3 linked regions of the Arabidopsis thaliana genome follow. The protein of the gene in region 3 binds, or shares a complex with, the protein of the main gene of each other region. Each region holds a gene or a part of one and is shown on either strand. Other genes may lie near its edges.

Region 1 (7,135 bases), about 10 Mb from region 3:
ACTCATTTTCATTATCCTTGAAGACGCCTGAGTGATCGATCGCAGGCGTCACAGAGACCGTCTGCTTCGAGCTAACGCAACCCATTTTTAACAGAATTCCGATTAGTTCGTAACTTCACAACCACCACAAGTGACTAGCTGATTTCGTATCCGTATATTCCGGCGCCGTCACGATAAGATCCGTCGCCGTAATTCGGATCCGGAACCAAAGTGAATCTCCTGAAAACTTGAGAGGTTTCGTATATATTTTTATAATGAAGGTTCAGAAGAGAATGTTTTAGGCTCTTCACTTTTTTATCAGAAGAAGACGGTACATTACTTCAAAAAGAAAACATGCATTTATTAGTCTGGTCCAAAAAAACGAATCTACACCTTCCAAAATTTTGAAACCTATTTTAGCAAATAGTTAATGACAGCTTTTTTGTTGAAATAAAGAATTGACTATACAAATGTGGTAGAACAGAATTCAAAGCGTGTTGGAAAATAAAATAAAAAAGGAAATTGATTTTTGGTTGTATGTATTAAGTTTTGGTCTCTAGTACAGTACAAGTGAATGGGCTATTGATTTTATTAATTGTACGAAGATGACTTGAAATGATTTATCCATAAGCACTAAGTAGTGCTAATGAGATTAGAAAAAGCTAAAACTATGATTAAATTTCATAAGATAAGTCAAAACCAAAATTCATTACAGACATAGAATAATTGCAAAGAGAAAACTCACTTGTGTCTCTAATGCTTTGCCAGCTCTTAGCCTATGATGACTACTACTACTGATATTTTTCATAATATATCTGTTTCTCAACTTTCAAAAGCACTAATTATGATTTAAGGTGCTTATATTGCTAACAAACTGAATTCCTATCAGTCAATTTTATTTATTTTTCTCTCTAAAAAAGACGAAACCAGAAAAGAAAATAGATCAGTAACTGCCATATGGAGAATACACAAAAGACAAAATAAGAAACAAATATATATATTCGTGAAATGCATCATTCATCTAAATCATTCGTATATTCTGTAAATAGTTTTTTAGTTGAATTGTCAGGGAGCCTAAAATCCATCATCATTAGTATATATTCTCTCAAGAATTTATTTGAGCTTAACATGTGTATGTATTTAGAGTCAATAAGATATAGTCTCGTACGGTTCAACGACACCCATTTAAAGTTTCCGGACTAAACCTCTGAAAGACCAAAACAATGTAGGGACAACTTAAGAAACAAGGACAGAACTTTGTCTTACGGCAAGAGTTGAATGAAATTAAGCCTTCTTCTTTTTGGATTTGAGCATGACCATGCCGATGAATACGGAAATGAGAGAGAGAAGAGCTATGCCGGCAAAGACAGGTACGAGAATGGCATAGTCTTGGGGTAAGAAGTACTTGTGGATGAAGTGATCACTATCTACAAATGGCTGTACAAAACGAAAATTCTATTATGTCAGCTTTTTCCTAGTAATATCCTAAACATTAGATGACATTGGTACATCAAACTGACAATGTCTTTTTAAGGAACTTGGGGGAGATGTTGTCACTTACCAGGATGATGACCCAAAAAGTATAGTACGTGAATATGGACAAGCTGATTGAAGATAGTAGAAGCCCGACTGCTCGATCCGCTAATTCCATTTTGTCAAGTTCAAAACCTGCAGCACCGCAAATCAATTGTGAGAAAAAAATCAGAAAAATTCAAGAAGCTAAGCATTGGAAGATACAGTCAAAAGTGAAGGAAGTTATATTGTGAATGTCAATGAGACCATTTCACCTAGACTTTTCCCATTAGACCAGCTAATGCCATGGTTTTATGTTCTGAGGGTATGCAAACTGTGCTACTGCACAAGGCCTCTAGAAATTAAAACATTTGAAGAACGATAATCACCGGACATATGATTTGCTAGACATCAGATACACAAAGCTCAACAACTGCCTAAAACGAATCAGAGTTGACCTAGGAAGAATCAAACACTTGCAAGACTCTTGTCGTGGAGAGTAGTAATCATCTCCAGGCTCCAAAATCAACAGCTTGAAGTGATATTTGACCTATATACAGATCTTTGAGGTGTTGCTTACACAGCCCTATTCTCCTTCCATTTAAGCTAGAAGGAATACAAACAGAAAATCCAGTTTTCCAACCTGGAAACTTCTGTCTCTCCATTGCATGTAAAGTATAAACAGCAGGTGCAGCCATCGAACAACCAATTACGAAGCAATTGCAAGGCCTTGATTCGCTCACTAATCGAGCTAAAGACAATAAACACAAACCACTATTGGAAAGGCCGTATGTTAGATGTTCATCCCTGTCAAAAGCAGGAGAATCTAGTTTCTCATGTTGTATTTCCTGTTCTATATCTTCAGCAGAGGGAATAGTGCTCAGTTCCAAATCAAGGCGTTTCTCTATTTCATTTTCATGTATTCGATATTTTGCTGCCAAAGTACGGATGCATGACATTCTGATCTGATTATCAATAAGAGCCTTTATCTCATCAAAATTACTACAGCCTTCATACCAAATCACCCATCGCCGAACAAGTCCTGAATACCAATCAATTATTTGGGCAGTATCTAGCAAAATAAGCATAGAATTTGAACGAGCATAACCCTTGGCTGTTATTAATCCGTAGCGATAAAGACGCCTTCCTATAGCATTAGTCGGAGCGACAACATCACCAAAGAAAACAGGTCTATCATGAGATTGTGGACATGGCAAAAGCGCTTCCAGATTAGCCGTCTCTGATGAAACATATGCCGCAGCAGCGTTTTGGAACTTGTAAAACGCATCTCTTAGTTCTTGAGGAACAGTAGGTTCTACAACATGCTTGGACAAGACAAACTCCTCGCTTCTATCTGCAGAGGTTCTTAGCACGTCCTCCATCCATATTCTAAGCAAGATCTTATACCAATGATCTGTTTCCATGCCTGCCTTTCTGTGGCAAGATATTTGACTCAAGGTAGAGTTACTATCCGCCAAACCTTTGATTTCTGACTCTTTGACTTTCTTCAATCCATGTCCTAACCATTTCTTTCCAATTCTAACTGTACCTAAGGTCCAAGCCTCTTCTTTCTGCAATGCAAAGAGCCTAACCTTCTCCTTTAACTTGTGAACAGCTTTGACAGTGGGACTCTCCCTAACATTTTTCCTAACCAAGGTACCCAAAACACGAAGCCCACTGGTCGCTTCACATGGTGACGGGTCTGTCTCATCTGTGATGTCCAAATGCAGTGAGTTCCGTAAGAAACCTATAGCTTCAGATCTGATATCACTTGCAACTTTCTTGGGACCAGACACAGAGAAATATATCTCATCCATAAATCTGCAGCAATAAACTCTGAGTGCAACGTCCTGCTCTGTAGTACTTTTCAAACCTTGTTCTCCGGCTTGCCTCCTAAACCAGGAACGAAGTTTTGAGCCTGGGCTATCTTCATCAGTCTTTGAATCAAGACCAAGGGCTTCATGCCTCATTGAGATTCTATAAAATTCATGATCAAACCGATCAAGATATATGTTCATTAATACACGGGACAACACCCCTTCTTGTGGAAGACCATGGCCCTTGGGAAATCCTCCGAACTCGAGATTGAGCACCCGGGCTTCAAACATAGAACGGAGTAAGATGCTTAAACTGCTGTCTTCTACTTTTTCCTCCATTACAGAGAGCAAGTTCTCGAAAACAGAAACATCAAGTTTTTTGTTCAGGCTCAAAGTGAAACACCAATCCGAACGAGAAATATTGTTGTTGATGTACTTCAATGCAGAGGCACGTCCCCTTCCGCTTCGACAACTATGTGAAATCTTAGAAAAATGAGGACTGAAAACAACTTCAAGAACTATTCTGATAGCCTCTTGGACAACTTTAAGAGCTACACTAGGCAAGACAAGGACCTCTTTTGTTTTATCTCTAGCCACAATCGAAAACGTATTTGAAGCAACATCAAACACCCCACTAGAGAGCTCTTCTGCAATAGAATCAAACGCGACACTACCATTTCTTTCTGTTATAGAAACATTGGAGTTAAGCCTAATACAATCATAAGCATCCCGGAGAGTTTCAGGCCTTGCAATCACCTTCTTCAACAGATCACTAAACTTCCCATTGATGCACTGCTCTTTGACTCTTTTCTTCAACCGGAGTTCAAGAGATCGTTTTAGTTCCATACGACTTCTAGGTTTGCTATCATCATCAACATGAGAAGAAGATTCTTCTACAAGAGAAGCTAATTCCCCAGCTAGTGAAAACATTCCAGTTTCCTTACTAGCCATTTCTGCATTATCTGTTGCAAGCAGAGCCGATTTGGGAAACGTGGAGATTGTGCGACTCCATAAGCCCCGTGGGATTAGGGTTTCTATGTAACATCGGCGCAACAAATCTAAAACTAGGTTCCGTTTCCTAAACATCAAGTTAAAATTCCGATTCCTAATTCTAAAACCTATGCGATTATATCCCGACTAAGCCAGTACAAAGTTTCTACAATGAAACGGGACGAATCAGGTTTTTATCAATCTCTTTGCTTAAATCAACACAGAAATGGAAGGAAACTTACGTTCAGGGATGCGAAAAGCACGATTGGTCTGAGAGATAGAAATCGAAGAAGCTCTTGCTTTGCACAGTGAATTACTCGAGATTGAGAAGAAGAACTCGTGACTTGAGAATAGGAAGGAAGGAGGGACTATTTATGAAATAACATAAACTATTGCTTACTTCTATAAATTACATTTTGACACCTTTAGTTGTAGAATATTTATGTTTTAAACATTTTTTTTATAACAGACTTACAGGTAATTTAGTACGCAACAATGAGGCAGTTTCATTTACCATGAAAGCGCAAGAAAAAATATAGACAAAAATATCATTAAATGATAAATGATTAAATTAATAAATTCGTTAATTCAGTTTGATAATTAAGATAGAAACATGAGTGATCAGCTCTTCCTACGCGGTGGACCGACATCATCTACTTGTTCAATTGTTTATCAGTTTCCTATCAATTGACACTTTCTTATATGTAAAATGCGTTGCTTCATGCTTTGCTTATATTCATTCCCCCACGAATACAATAATATCTAATATTGAGCTACGTTTTAAGTTTACGTACCCCCTAAACCTCTAATTGTTTAAAAGGTTTCAAGGTTCAAGAACTCGGGTTTGGGTCGGATTAGAGCGAGTGGATATATTAGTACCTACAATATATACTTTCTCTTATTGGATCCAAAGCTATTTAATTTGGTGTCGTGCATGTGCAAGTTATTTTAGGTGATAATGTTGAATTTGACCAATGGAAACATCAAAACAACAAATGGGTACGCAGAGAAAAACCAAAACGCACAAACGACGTGGCTTTCAAGTGGCATGGACTTTTAAATTTCATAGCAAAATTTTCTTTTGTTTGGTCGCCTTAGTTGTTTGCCTTAGTTGTTTTGGCATGAACAATGTTGGCTCAATACCATTCACACGTCCTTAGTGTTGTTGAATGGACCATTGTTTTTTTATCGGAGGTTTCCTTTAGTTTTTTCTTTTCAACTGGTGGAAGTTAATAACTTTAAAATTGGTACCACTTTGATTTTTTTAGAATTTTGATCATTATGCATTCTAGTGTCAGAAGACACAACATGGATGCTTGAAACATATGTGGCAGAAGAGAGTGATTCAACTTCCTACTATGATTAGTTGAAGCTTGAAGCTACTACTGTATCTTTAAAGTAATAAAATTGAAGTTATAGAAATATGACTGTAGTTGATAAACATATAAGTAGACTATTTTTAAGATAAAAAATATTAGATGATTATCCTAAATCTTGTTGCATATCATCTATCAACAACTTTGAAAGTTTGATTTGTTTCTGAGTAATACTACTTTTTGCAGATTTTGTTTCTAATGACACAAAATATCATTTTAGCAATTAACTATAATTCCTTTTTTATATTGTTCTCTTTATGGAAGAGAATAGTAGCCTCTGAATTTTCTAATTCAAAAAAATATCAATGGTCTATCACGAAGTGTTATACTATTCAATTCAAAATTAATTGAATACTTAGACTAATCAAGGTAAAATAATACACGCATTTGACTCTTATCACGAAGAAAAAAAAAAGGTAAGAGAAAAATATTTATAACGGGAAAATAAATAACAAACAAAAGAAACGAATAAGATGAGATTTAATGATTAACAATGATTTAAAAAAAAAACATTGGTCAAAGCACGAAGTAAGTCAACTAGTGCCGTCCATATGAATCACATTGGACCCCACCATATACATGTATATTTTGTTAACCTCTTTTTAGTAAAATATCTTTAATTTTTTGAACATTTCAAAATGATGCCAATTTCTTCTCTTTAGTCGTCTAAAACTTAGTTAAATAACACTTTTAAATCTCTGGAGAAGCAAATATATCTTTTAATGCTACATAAGTCACATTCACCATATATTGTATGTAACGTAATTTTTAGATTTACATTATGCAAAAGTTTTATCTATTATCATAAACTTACCAACTCTGACACGAAGTCAAACTACTCTGGACCGGTCAACTTAGATGTCACAACTGCTCACCTAATTGTTGCCCTCGCGAGTTAACTTAAATAAAGTAATCTAATTTTATGGTTTTTTTAACCAAATCACACGATTAAAATTTCTAAACTCACACATACTTCAATATATATAAGTTCAAACTGTCAAAATTTATTAAATGTTACCCACTAGGATAAGTTCTTGAGTGCGCAAGTGGTACCGTACAAATTAAAAGAAAAGCTAATGGTGAATCAAAAACAATATTTGTAATTGTTTACTTTTTCTAAGGAGAACTAAAATGAGTTATGGTTTAGTTTTAGTCATATGAGACTCATCTAGTCGATAAAACATCAATTTTGTTTTTGTTCTAAACGACTTCAAAGTTCAATTTTTGAAATATTCAACAAATGCGGTATTTTTCCTTAAGAAATTTTTGATAAAGACTAGTAACGTAATATATACGTTTATACGGGTCAAAATTAGCATAATATGATGACTCAATTTCACCTTTTTGTAATTAATTTTTGTGTTTGAGGAAAAGTCTAATAAATAGGAATAAATCTGTGTGATGTTCAAAGTTTTTCAGTTGCTTGGTCTACGTGCGGGCTGCTTTGTGTTTTTTTCCAAC
Region 2 (5,507 bases), about 11 Mb from region 3:
ATTAGAGAAGTGAGCAACAACAAAGGAAAAAAAAAAAAAAAAGAACACAAAAAAACGGCCACAAGCTCACCACCTTGTACAAGACATACTTCATCTAGCCTCTTGTAAAGGTAATCAAGAACGTGCACAGCAATTTCAGCTGTTGAAATAGCCGAACTCGACTCAAAATACGCATGAGGGATCGCACCTCGTACAACTTGGAAAAGGTATTCAGCATCTGAACACAGACTAGCAAATAGAAAGAAAAAAACTGAAGACTGCTATTAAATATAGTTCTTGAACCGAGAAACAGCATTCAATATATGAAAATGATCTAGGCTACACACCTAGATAAAGAACTAGTTAATCCCAAAAGAGTTGGAGTAACAGCAACATTAGAATCGTTGATCTTCACTTCCTCATTCAAAGCAATATCTCTAAGTCTCTGTTCCAATACCCAATTGTACATCAGTCTCAAATATTCAAGAACAAGCCAAATAAATAAATAAAAAAACTAATAGGGAGTTGTGGACTACTTGCCTCAAGCCAACCAGAGGCAGAGTTCGAAAATGCCATTAAAGTAGGAGGAGATTTAAGAGAGGCATTAATTCCACTAACAATAGACTCCACAAGCTTCAAACATGTAGCAGCATACAAAAATCCAGCGAGAAGGACATGAAGGCTTGACTGAGACAAATGAGAAACTCGTATCTCACTTTTAGCGCGGAAAGTTTGTTCCTTTCGGTCCCAGAAAATGAAGGGACTAGAGAAACCTTGCAAAGCTTGTAAGAGACCTTTCACCTAATTAACCTCCGGAGAAAAAGGGTTTAAGTTGCTTTGCCGAAAAGAATTTGAAAAGAGTAGTGTTTGTGGCATTACCAGATGGGATTCATTCACGCTCACTGAAGGAGGAGCTAGTTCTGAGTGTGTCCAAACTCTGTGACTGCACATCATTCCCGGAATTAGGGTGTCTAAGCCGGCGTGATCAATACGAAGCAACGACTCAGACATCACTGTGAATTTGATTTTCACATACCAAATTGGTTCGGAGGGAAATCGGAGAAGCTTTGATGTGGGTGAATTTGAGAGAGAGTGAGTGAGAGCAAGTGAAGAAAGGTCTCAAATGGGCCCAAATTATAAAGGCCCGTCGCAGTGACAAAGATTATCACATTACGAACGATCTAAAACATAAAACCTTCTTTGGTTGGTTGGTTAAGGTATTTATGAAATGTAAGATATCTCAACTCAACATTCAAAATCAACAATGTCTATAATATGAACTTTTGAGTCTTAAAAGATGCGACTCTCTGAAGTCAAAGTAAGTGAAGTTTCTAAACGACATGATCAGAGTTCAACTGTTAAGAGAAATCTATGAAGCAATGGAACAAATGAAGAGTATAAAGAGAGACTCGTGTGTTGTTGAGTTGCTTGGTGTGTCTTAAGTTGTAAGCAGGAGATAGACGAGGCCTTTTAGATATTCCACTATTTCAGATCCTCCGAGTTTCGAAGTTCCAAAGACTCTGTCAACAAAAGTGATCGGTACCTGCAGATGAAGATGAGCACCAGAGAATCAAGAATATGAATGGAAATATAGTTTAGAAAGAATCAAAATCACAGTGAATTGGTATAAAAAGAGAGACCTCTTCAATATGGTATCCTTTTCTGGTTGCACGAACAATCATTTCCATCTGAAAGACATACCCTTTACTCACACATGAGCTAATCACGTCTTCAAGCGCCGATTTCTTGTATAGCCTTCCAAACAAAGAGGTGCGGAGGTCAGACATGATACTATCAAATGATGTCAGTTAAAAATATGCGCATATGTTATTTGAATTATACCGGAATGATCCTGTTAAATCAGATACACCAGGCCATAAAAGTGTTTGAGCTAGCACATTTGCTCCTCTACTAGTGAGTTTCCGCATAAGATTCCACCCGTGTACACCACCACCTTTTACATATCGTGTACCAGTTACTATACTTGCATTTGTCTCTAGTTGTTTCCTTTATGATAATAAGAAAAAAAACAAATCAGTTGAAGTCACTATAGGTTGTGAAACTAGTAAGAGATCAAGAGACTCTTCTTTTTCTTACTTGATGAAACTTGGTAAGTATTTTGGCTGCACAGAAGAAAAGTGACTGGGTTAGCTAAACAATTAAACAGGTAAACAAGAAAACTAAATTAATGGCTCTTACATGATGTGAAAGATCAGCATCCATGATCACGACGAAATCACCCGTAGCATGCTTCAAACCATGAATATATGCAGTTCCTGAGATTGACCATGCCAAGAAAATTAATTTCATTTCTTGTTAACCAAAACTAGAAGACAATGAAGATACAAATTACATACCCAAACCAAGCTTCTTGGCTCTAGCTCTTAAAAGCTGCATCATAAAAAAGATAAAAACATGATTTCACCTAAACAGAAGAACGCCCAATAATTTACAAATTAAGGTCTTAACACATCATTGTACTCACGATACGGTCTTCACCATACAATTGCTGCAGTTGCTTGACAATTTCCTGTGTGCCATCAGGACTCCCATCATCCACAACAATTATCTCAAAATCAACGTCCCTAAATCATACAAACAAGTAGCGAAGCAAATTCTCAGTAACAGTTAACAAAGAGTCTACTTAACAAGTGCAATTCTATATTAATTTCATATAAGCAGCCATAACCAGAATCGATCTAAGATTAGCACATGTAGCTTCTGACTATTCTCCGATCACTAAATCAAAGTTTTTAAAACACCATGAAACTACTACTATATAGTTTGAGGGATCACTACATTGGCCTTTACTAGCTCATGCACAGAAACAACAAATCACGAATTAGGATCTGCAATCTACAGAAACATGATCGGAAAATTTCCGAGATCCGTAACTTGAAATTGGCGATCAGGTTCGAGTATTCAGTAAAAGAATAACAAAAAACGTAATTCCGATTCTGAAATGAAAGAATGAACGTGAAAAGACCAAAAGAAATAAATATTCATTTACCGGAGATGCTTGAAAATCAGGTAGACTATGATAGCGATGTTGAGGCGCTCGTTGTAGGTAGGAATGATTATGCTATACTTGTACTTCTTCTCTCCTTTGGTCTCCATCTCGTCCGCCATCTCTTCCGGCGAGTTTTGGTAACGGTGGTTCCTTCGTCTTAACCCGTGAAATCAGCCGTCGTCTGTACAAAAATAAGGATTAAAATAATGTCAAATATAGGGACTAAAAAGCAAGTTTCTCAAATTGGGCCTAATATAAATATGGGCCTATATAAAGCCCAAAAATAAATCAGGAAAGCTTTAAAAGAGGTAAACTCGTCAATCGCATCTGAGTCGCTCTTCTTTCCTTCCGCCATTTTTTTCTTTCTAGGTTGCAGAGTTAAAGGAGAAGGTTTTCAATTAGGGTTTTGTAGAGAGAAAGATGAGCCGAAGTTTGGGAATACCGGTGAAGCTTCTTCACGAGGCCTCAGGTCATATCGTGACGGTGGAGCTAAAGAGCGGCGAGCTTTACAGAGGAAGTATGATTGAGTGTGAGGATAACTGGAACTGTCAGCTCGAGGATATTACTTATACCGCCAAGGTAATCAACTGATACTCTGAAGATCTCGATTCATTTTATATGAGACTGTTTTTTGAACCATAGGTTTCGTTTCAATTTCATTGTTTGATGTTAGTGCTGTTAAAACCCTAGATTTGGTGAGCTGGGCAAATTTGCTGGGAAATTTTAGATTGCTTCTTATTTTAAGTTCTAAGTGAGATTAAGAATCCTTGAAATTCATGCTGTATAAAACCCTAGAATGCGTGATCCTGCCAGTGACATTAGATAAATTTTGACTGTAGGGTATAGTCTCCTCTGATTGGTTAAACTTATTATTGATCTATAGGACACATCAATAACTGAGAAGAAAGGTTCTACGTTTGTGCTTTGTAACGTTTTATCCAAAGCCTAAGTTGCTCTTTAGGAATACAGTGGTCAAATGTGAATTATCTGAAGTATGCAGGTCTTAAAGCGTCCTCTTATTTGCGGATTATTGTGCCGTATGGGTTTTGAGTCAACCTGTAATTATTGGGAAAAGAACTACATGTAGTTCTCAATTCAGAAAGTCTTAACTCTTTAAGTGTTATTCTTCATAGTATACATAAATAATCTGTCAACTTAATGGGTTTGTTTGTTAATTGTCACTGAACTTTTGTTTTGGGTTTTCCAATGCTGTGTTACAGGATGGTAAGGTATCACAGCTTGAGCATGTCTTCATTCGAGGCAGTAAAGTCAGGTGCTGTACTTGTTTCCTTGTTTATGTAATTCATGGGATCATTCTTGTTAACCCTAGCTGTTTAGTAATTGACCTGCGGATATATCTTGACAGGTTTATGGTCATACCAGACATTCTCAAACATGCTCCAATGTTCAAGCGGTTAGATGCTAGAATCAAGGTATATATGCTTTTTGAACCCTGGATGCAGAATGATATTAGGATCTCTATACATATCTCCAACAAACATCTTACCTTACTTGCTTAATCAATGTAGGGAAAGAGCTCATCACTGGGTGTTGGCAGAGGTAGAGGTGCAATGCGAGGGAAAGTAAGTTCACCCTCTCTCTCTTATGATTTAGTGCTCATGAATGCAATGTTAGGAAGTTTTATGGAACTTGTTAAGATGTTCAAATCCTTGTTATCCCTTAATGGTTTGTTTCTTCTTTGTCACTACTAATGGTTAGATTCTTGAATCTTTGTGATATTATCTTAAAGCCGGCTGCCGGGCCCGGGCGTGGAACTGGAGGAAGGGGAGCGGTACCACCTGTGAGGAGATGATTGATTTTACGCTCAACATGTAAGCTTTGATTCTGGGATAGTCTTTCTGTGATATCCAGGTGAAAGCCGCCTTTCTTGGTTCTGTCATTAATGCTTTAGAGAACACTGTAAAACCAAACAAGAGAGAGAGATATCCAGATGCACTACTAGTTCTGTATTTTGGGTTACCAAGATGTTTGAATCATTGACAAGTTTTCGTTGTGATCTATTTTCTTCTTTGCGCATTCTCCATTTCTGACAGTAGATGAGTAAAACAAAGTACATTGTTTTCATAAAGGTCTTAATAAGACTAAGATCAGAAAACAAAGTTGGTCATTTATAACATTAATAATATAAGCTAGAAAATAATATTGTACTTGTATTTTCAACATGTAAAACCTTGTCTACTGCTATTTTCCCAAATTATCCAAAAAATTTCCAAAATGACTTGTACAATATTTAGTCTATAAAAGTTTAGTTCCAGAGTACCAGCAAACACCAAAACGACTTGTAGAAGAATATTTGATGGAGTGTAGAGGTTCGGTTCCTGAGTAATATTAACCAAAATGGGTCATAGAGTTTCCTGAGTATTTTACAACGATTATACATGAAATTAGTAGGATCAATTCACAAGTTGAATATAGGAAAGCATGATATCAAAAGATTCTTTTTATTCTCTCTCAAGTGAAGAAAGATCTTAAAGACCTTAAAAAGAGAAGAACCGAA
Region 3 (5,600 bases):
CAGTCAACAATTTCAGAGGCATGAGAGTAGCCCGAGAATGAATAAACGACATCGGAGTTCTCGTCAGGAGAAGTTACAAAAACGGCTATGTTGGCTCCGGAGAGAAGGCAAAGATCAGCCGCTTTGGAGAAGAGTGTGGGACGGCGTTTGCTGCAAGCGACGGATCGTTGTTGTTTAGTCATGCGTTTCTCAATTTCAATCTTTCTTTTTGTTCCTCTTTTCCTCATTGTGCAATCAGTTACGTTCGACGACTGCATTATTAGGGTTTGTTTTGTGTCTTACAGAGAGAGATAATGGAATCGAGAGAAAAAGAGAGAGTGAAAAGAGAGTAGAGGCAAAGCACAAATATATAGAGATTAGATAATACTAATGTCGGTATTATCATGTGACTCGGTCAAACTTAATTTTTTTAATTTTTACCAAACAAACATTTTCATTAAGATCATCAAGATTATTGCATCTAATCACAACTGTTATCATCAAATATCAACACAAACACTATAAATTCAGAATCAGATTATGCATGAGAGAAGAGAAAAGAAGAAGAAAAACAGGATCGTACTTGGAGAGTAATACAACACAAGCACCCACATCCTCCTTAACCAAAACAACAACAACAATATCAGACAAACAACCATAAACAGTAAGAAGAAAAGATCAAACACAAAAAAAAAGCTCCAACAAAGTTGTTGAAGGGTCAGCAGAGGAGAGCTCAAGCTCGAACCAAAGTGTTTGATGTAATGAAGCAGAGAAGGAAGATGCTGATGGAAGGATCAATGCATGAGAAGGTGCTAGCATTAAAGGCAGACAACAACAAAAAAAATCTAGCCCTCATAAAAAGTTTGCTTCTGGATGCACGAATGGAGATGAAACAAGAAAAGCATATAAGCATAAGGTTCTGAAGTCATCTGATGAGTCAAACATTCACATCGCTGTAGGGGATGGAAATGAGGGACAGGATTGTTGTTTGCTTCATGATGATAGCATCAGAAGTGAAGAAACTATGAAATCCAATGAGCAGTACTCTGAAAAGGGAAACAATGATTTTGGTGAAGGTGATGTTGATAACAATGACAAGACTGATAAGAGATTTCAAGAGCTGAATGTGCTAGCATTGTCGATAGAGGAGCGTATTCTTAAGGCATAAAGAACTGTGGCATGGTTGAACGAAAGGAGAGCCATAAACACACAGAAAAGCAGCTGGTTTGAATTAGGTGTTGTTGTGGACAGATAAAGAAAGGAGAAGGCAAATGCAAGTTGAATATCAAAGTCATATCTTTATGATCTTTTTGGTTCAGTGTCTTTTGATTTTCCTGCTTAGTATCTTTTAAAAACTGGTTTGGTTCCAAATGTTTCATTTGTATCTTTTGAAACCTACTCAGTTATGAGCGACTTAATACCTTCTTGGTGTGTTGCATATCAGAGTTTTCGTACAGAGGATAGCCTGATTCAATCTGTTGATGCGATCTCTTTTGCATACCTGGAGAACTTACTAGACACAAAGGCCAAAGCTTTATGGTAATTCACCACAAGAAAATGTAAATGCTTCTATTGTTACTAATAAGTTTCTGCAATTTGGAATATTTGTTATACTTTTGCGATTACTTTTGGATGCATACGAAGCTTTTGCGTTTTACCTCAGTGACACTGTTAAATTCAAAAATTCCAAACAGTACAGTTAAGTCTTTTGTCAATAACGAAAAATATCTCTGATGAATGGTCTGATAAAAGCCTTTGTGTCAATTCGATCCAACATCTACCCCTTTGTGCTTGAAGAAGTCCTTAGCCTCTGCAATATCCTGCAACCAAAGAAACAGATAAAAGACACTAAATTAGCAAAAATATTGAAGGATGTCAACATTAGATAACACGAATCCGTATAGAGCAGGATGAAAAATAAGAACAAGGCCGACTATGGCAAACAAAGAGCTAGTCTCAAAAGTACCTTCTGCAGCAGAACTGCTTCTTGGGGGCAAGTAGGAAACTGCATGAGCCCGACTCCAACCATTAATAGGCCATAGCATCCGAGGGATACAACAAAGTAGATCGGTAGCTGTAAGACAGACCGGCAATAATACCAAATCAGAACAGAATCCTAATTTCAAAAAAGCAAGAAACCAAAAAAGAGGACAAAATTGTTTGTTACTCACCAACCATGTATGGCTTCGAGGAATAATTGCAGCCTGCAAAAGACCAATCCAGAAGGCAGAGATAGCCACCAACAGGCTCAAGATCTTTACTATATGCTTCATTTGTCCTTTAAAGTAAAAAATTATGTAAAAGAGTTTAAGTTAGCTGCGAATAGAAATGCATAGACGATCACAGCATTCTCCAAGAAGTTGTAGAGCATGTAAAAGAAATCACTCAGCGAGCCTAATAAACAAAATCTAGTAAATCAATGAACTATTCACAATTTCGTAGTTGTCATGATCAACACATATATTCCTCAAGAGCAATATTAACATCCCATTTACCCCACCAAAATTGATCACAAGCTCAAACCATAAGAAATATACCAATAATAGCTATCAGTTGTAACTAGATGGAGTCTCAACAAAGCAAATGGATTTTCATGTTTCAGTGTGTAATGTTCACTAACACAAAGACGCGCACATAATTTCCAAACATCAAAGTAAAACTAGAATCTAGCACAATCTGAACAGCTCAGTAACCCAGTTTATACAACTCAAACCATCATGCTATATCCAGATCAATCCGTACTTTTTCGACAATGACCTCTGACTGGGATAAACAAAATAAGAAATTGAAAATTATCTGACTCCGAAATATTGTAACATCAAAAAAAAACAATTTCCAATTCCTGAGATGATCAAGTCCGAACTGAAGCTACAGAACCGATACAAAATCAATGAGTTCCAACAGTTCCTCAGACCAAACGTCAAGAACTCAAAGTCTCAGACCATACGAAACTTAATCCTAAGAATTGTGTTAGCTTCCAAGAATCCAAATTCACAAATGCTGATCATGTAACATCAGAGGAGGTAAGAAAAACAATCACAGGAACCAAAGCAATAGCAAAAAAAATCCCTTACATTCAGGCAAGAAGCATTTAAAAAACAAGAATTCTAAAGAACCTGAGCTGCTTAAACAGGATTTGAATCGAAAGCATCTGAATCGAACCGTGTAACAAAAAACAGGATTCCAATTTCATATCGCTACCACTGATGACTGATCAGTAACCATAGAAACATTTCTAGACGAAATTTTTATATGGTTCCTTAAAACTACATAGTTCTATCACCAAAAACCGAAAACAGTAGCACAAAAGTTTCCTAGAATCATCTGAAAGCTTATACTAAATTAGCTAAATAGTACACCAGAACAAACACAAGGTAAATCACCAAATCAAGATAAAACCATGGCAAAGAAATATAAATTCCCAACAAAACCGATCCGAAAGGAGATGTTCCTCCAAAAAATTATCGTAAATCGATACAACACACAAAATAAAGAGGAGGAATCGATTATACTCACAGTTAATCGATGAGATCGTGATCGTCTAAGCGATAAAATCAGTTATAGAAGATTAATCTGGGTGTGGAGGTCACAAGTACTCGCCGTCGACGACGATGAATCGACGATATAACAACCGGTGAATACGGGGAACTCGTGAATATGCGAATTCACTTATACACTAAAACGATGCCGTATAGTCCCCACTTATGTTCCTCCGGTCTAAATGTCATTAATCCACATTTTGGTTCACGCTATATCGGTTTGATGCGGTTTCATATCGGTTTCATTCGGTTTGATGCGATATTCCCCTTTTGTCACTTTTAAGTTCGGTTTTAAAGTCACTTTTCCATACAGATGAGAGTATTAGCATTTTCATAAGCTCAATACGTTTTTCAAATATATCAACTTTTACATTTGATTCGGTTTCAATTCTTGATCAAAAGCAAGGATTGAAGAATTCGGTTCTCTATTCCAATCCGACTAGTAAATAAATCGTCGTACTAAACCACTCTATATAGAACAAACTTCTTTTTATTAATACAAGGCCTACACCTAGTGCACCACATCATCACCATACGTTACAAACGTAATTATTTTTGTTTACACGTACGTAAAAACATTAATATCATACAATACTTGCATGTACGTTATATAGTAGGCTTTTGTTATTATCTTTTCAAGAGACCTCTGTGTGACGCAGATAGCCTTTCTTTGACGGAAGATCGGCGGTCTTGAAACCCTGTGGGAACATCTTTTTGGCTTCCTCGTCCGACACAGCAGGCGAAATCACAACCGGTTGATCTGGCTTCCAGTTAACCGGAGTGGCGATCTTGTTATTGTGCTTGGACGCCATCAACAACGAGTCTAAAGCCCTCAATACTTCGTCCATGTTACGTCCCGTGGTCGACGGATACAAGAAGCTCAATTTTATCTATATATCACAAATCCAATTAACCAATAAAATCATACATGCAATAATATATGAAATTATTACCTTACTGTCAGGACCAACAATATGAAGGGCACGAGACGGTCCGTTCTCAATTGGATCAATCATGTTAAGCTGAGGAATGATCTCTTTGTTCGGGTCAGCGATTATCGGGTAATTCACCTTGCTTCCGTGCTATATCATACATATGTAACAAATTAATCAAAACCAAAATATGATCTCTAGCTAGTCTGGTATATGCATGCATGAGATTTAAATTATACATTAAAGGCTTCAATATCTTTGATCCAGTCTTTGTGTGACTGTACATCGTCACAAGACAGACCAAGGAGCTTCACGCCTCTCTTATCGAACTCATGAGCGTATTTGGCCATCGCACCAAGCTCCGTGGTGCACACGGGTGTGAAATCCCCTGTGTGACCGTCAACAAAAATCAAGAAAACAAAAAAGGAATTGCAACAGAAGTCAAGAACTCAAGATCTATATATTAACATATATACCGGGATGAGAGAAGAGGACGGTCCAAGAATTGGCGAAGTAGTCATGAAGTTTGAACTTGTCATGTGTCGTCTCCACTTCTAGGTTCGGCACCGTGTCTCCTAGTGTGATCCCTGGCATTTTACCTTTTATATTTATATATAGAAAAAACTTTCTGTATTGATTTGATGTGAATGGATGTAGTAGAAGTTGAAGTTGCGTCGAGGACCGATTAAATAGAGATCGCAAGCTGGTTAGGTTCGTGGATCAAAGTCAGAAAAAGAGAGAGAGAGACTTGATGATGTTCAAATTGAGGTGCATGCAAAAGAGTATAGCGTGGCGTTGTTATGAATTGGGTTCACGCCACGTGTCTTCGTATAATCTTCAAAGTTCAAATAAAATAACTCTTTTGTTTCGAGAAAAAACTTAAAGCTAAGGCGACGCACGATGTCTAGAGAGACTCAAGTGTTTGTATTTATTTTTTTACTTGTGATAATCGACAAAATCTTTGCGTTTACACCCAAACATTGTCGTATTAAGTTTCGTTTGGGCCGAGACTATGGTTAATGGGCCCATGTTTTGAGAAAAACGGCGTCGTTACCTCAAAAAGATTAGTTCTTCGGACAGACCTAGGAGGATCAGAAGTTCTTAAACGAAAAAGAAGAAGCCGAAAACTTCTGTCGGATCTGGAAGCTCT

Evidence for each region.
Region 1: DPMS3 (region 3) and DPMS2 share a complex: the UniProt entries of both Arabidopsis thaliana proteins name them as parts of the dolichol-phosphate mannose (DPM) synthase complex.
Region 2: DPMS3 (region 3) and DPMS1 share a complex: the UniProt entries of both Arabidopsis thaliana proteins name them as parts of the dolichol-phosphate mannose (DPM) synthase complex.

The regions. Positions count from the first base shown.
Region 1 is NC_003070.9:27,947,025-27,954,159, forward strand, and holds DPMS2 (dolichol phosphate-mannose biosynthesis regulatory protein-like protein), read right to left. Parts: upstream 4,645-7,135; 5' UTR 4,541-4,644; intron 4,390-4,540; exon of another isoform or gene 4,260-4,389; coding exon of another isoform or gene 1,998-4,259; intron 1,995-1,997; exon of another isoform or gene 1,767-1,994; intron 1,648-1,766; 5' UTR 1,631-1,647; coding exon 1,541-1,630; intron 1,417-1,540; coding exon 1,264-1,416; 3' UTR 1,021-1,263; downstream 1-1,020. Other genes in the region: AT1G74330 (Protein kinase superfamily protein), read right to left, coding at 1-85; AT1G74350 (Intron maturase, type II family protein), read right to left, coding at 1,998-4,259. UniProt on the Arabidopsis thaliana protein: Regulates the biosynthesis of dolichol phosphate-mannose. Regulatory subunit of the dolichol-phosphate mannose (DPM) synthase complex; essential for the ER localization and stable expression of DPMS1.
Region 2 is NC_003070.9:7,125,570-7,131,076, forward strand, and holds DPMS1 (Nucleotide-diphospho-sugar transferases superfamily protein), read right to left. Parts: upstream 3,194-5,507; 5' UTR 3,109-3,193; coding exon 2,990-3,108; intron 2,565-2,989; coding exon 2,465-2,564; intron 2,371-2,464; coding exon 2,337-2,370; intron 2,256-2,336; coding exon 2,179-2,255; intron 2,103-2,178; coding exon 2,077-2,102; intron 1,987-2,076; coding exon 1,822-1,986; intron 1,735-1,821; coding exon 1,620-1,734; intron 1,523-1,619; coding exon 1,418-1,522; 3' UTR 1,178-1,417; downstream 1-1,177. Other genes in the region: AT1G20570 (Spc97 / Spc98 family of spindle pole body (SBP) component), read right to left, coding at 57-228, 327-424, 520-780, 859-990; AT1G20580 (Small nuclear ribonucleoprotein family protein), read left to right, coding at 3,410-3,568, 4,210-4,262, 4,356-4,422, 4,519-4,572, 4,740-4,802. UniProt on the Arabidopsis thaliana protein: Transfers mannose from GDP-mannose to dolichol monophosphate to form dolichol phosphate mannose (Dol-P-Man) which is the mannosyl donor in pathways leading to N-glycosylation, glycosyl phosphatidylinositol membrane anchoring, and O-mannosylation of proteins; catalytic subunit of the dolichol-phosphate mannose (DPM) synthase complex.
Region 3 is NC_003070.9:17,780,054-17,785,653, reverse strand, and holds DPMS3 (dolichol-phosphate mannosyltransferase-like protein), read right to left. Parts: upstream 3,667-5,600; 5' UTR 3,496-3,666; intron 2,258-3,495; 5' UTR 2,253-2,257; coding exon 2,151-2,252; intron 2,054-2,150; coding exon 1,946-2,053; intron 1,800-1,945; coding exon 1,740-1,799; 3' UTR 1,443-1,739; downstream 1-1,442. Other genes in the region: AT1G48150 (MADS-box transcription factor family protein), read right to left, coding at 1-257; AT1G48145 (plant mobile domain protein), read left to right, coding at 741-788, 842-1,147; PER1 (1-cysteine peroxiredoxin 1), read right to left, coding at 4,154-4,408, 4,472-4,600, 4,690-4,838, 4,927-5,044. UniProt on the Arabidopsis thaliana protein: Regulates the biosynthesis of dolichol phosphate-mannose. Regulatory subunit of the dolichol-phosphate mannose (DPM) synthase complex; essential for the ER localization and stable expression of DPMS1.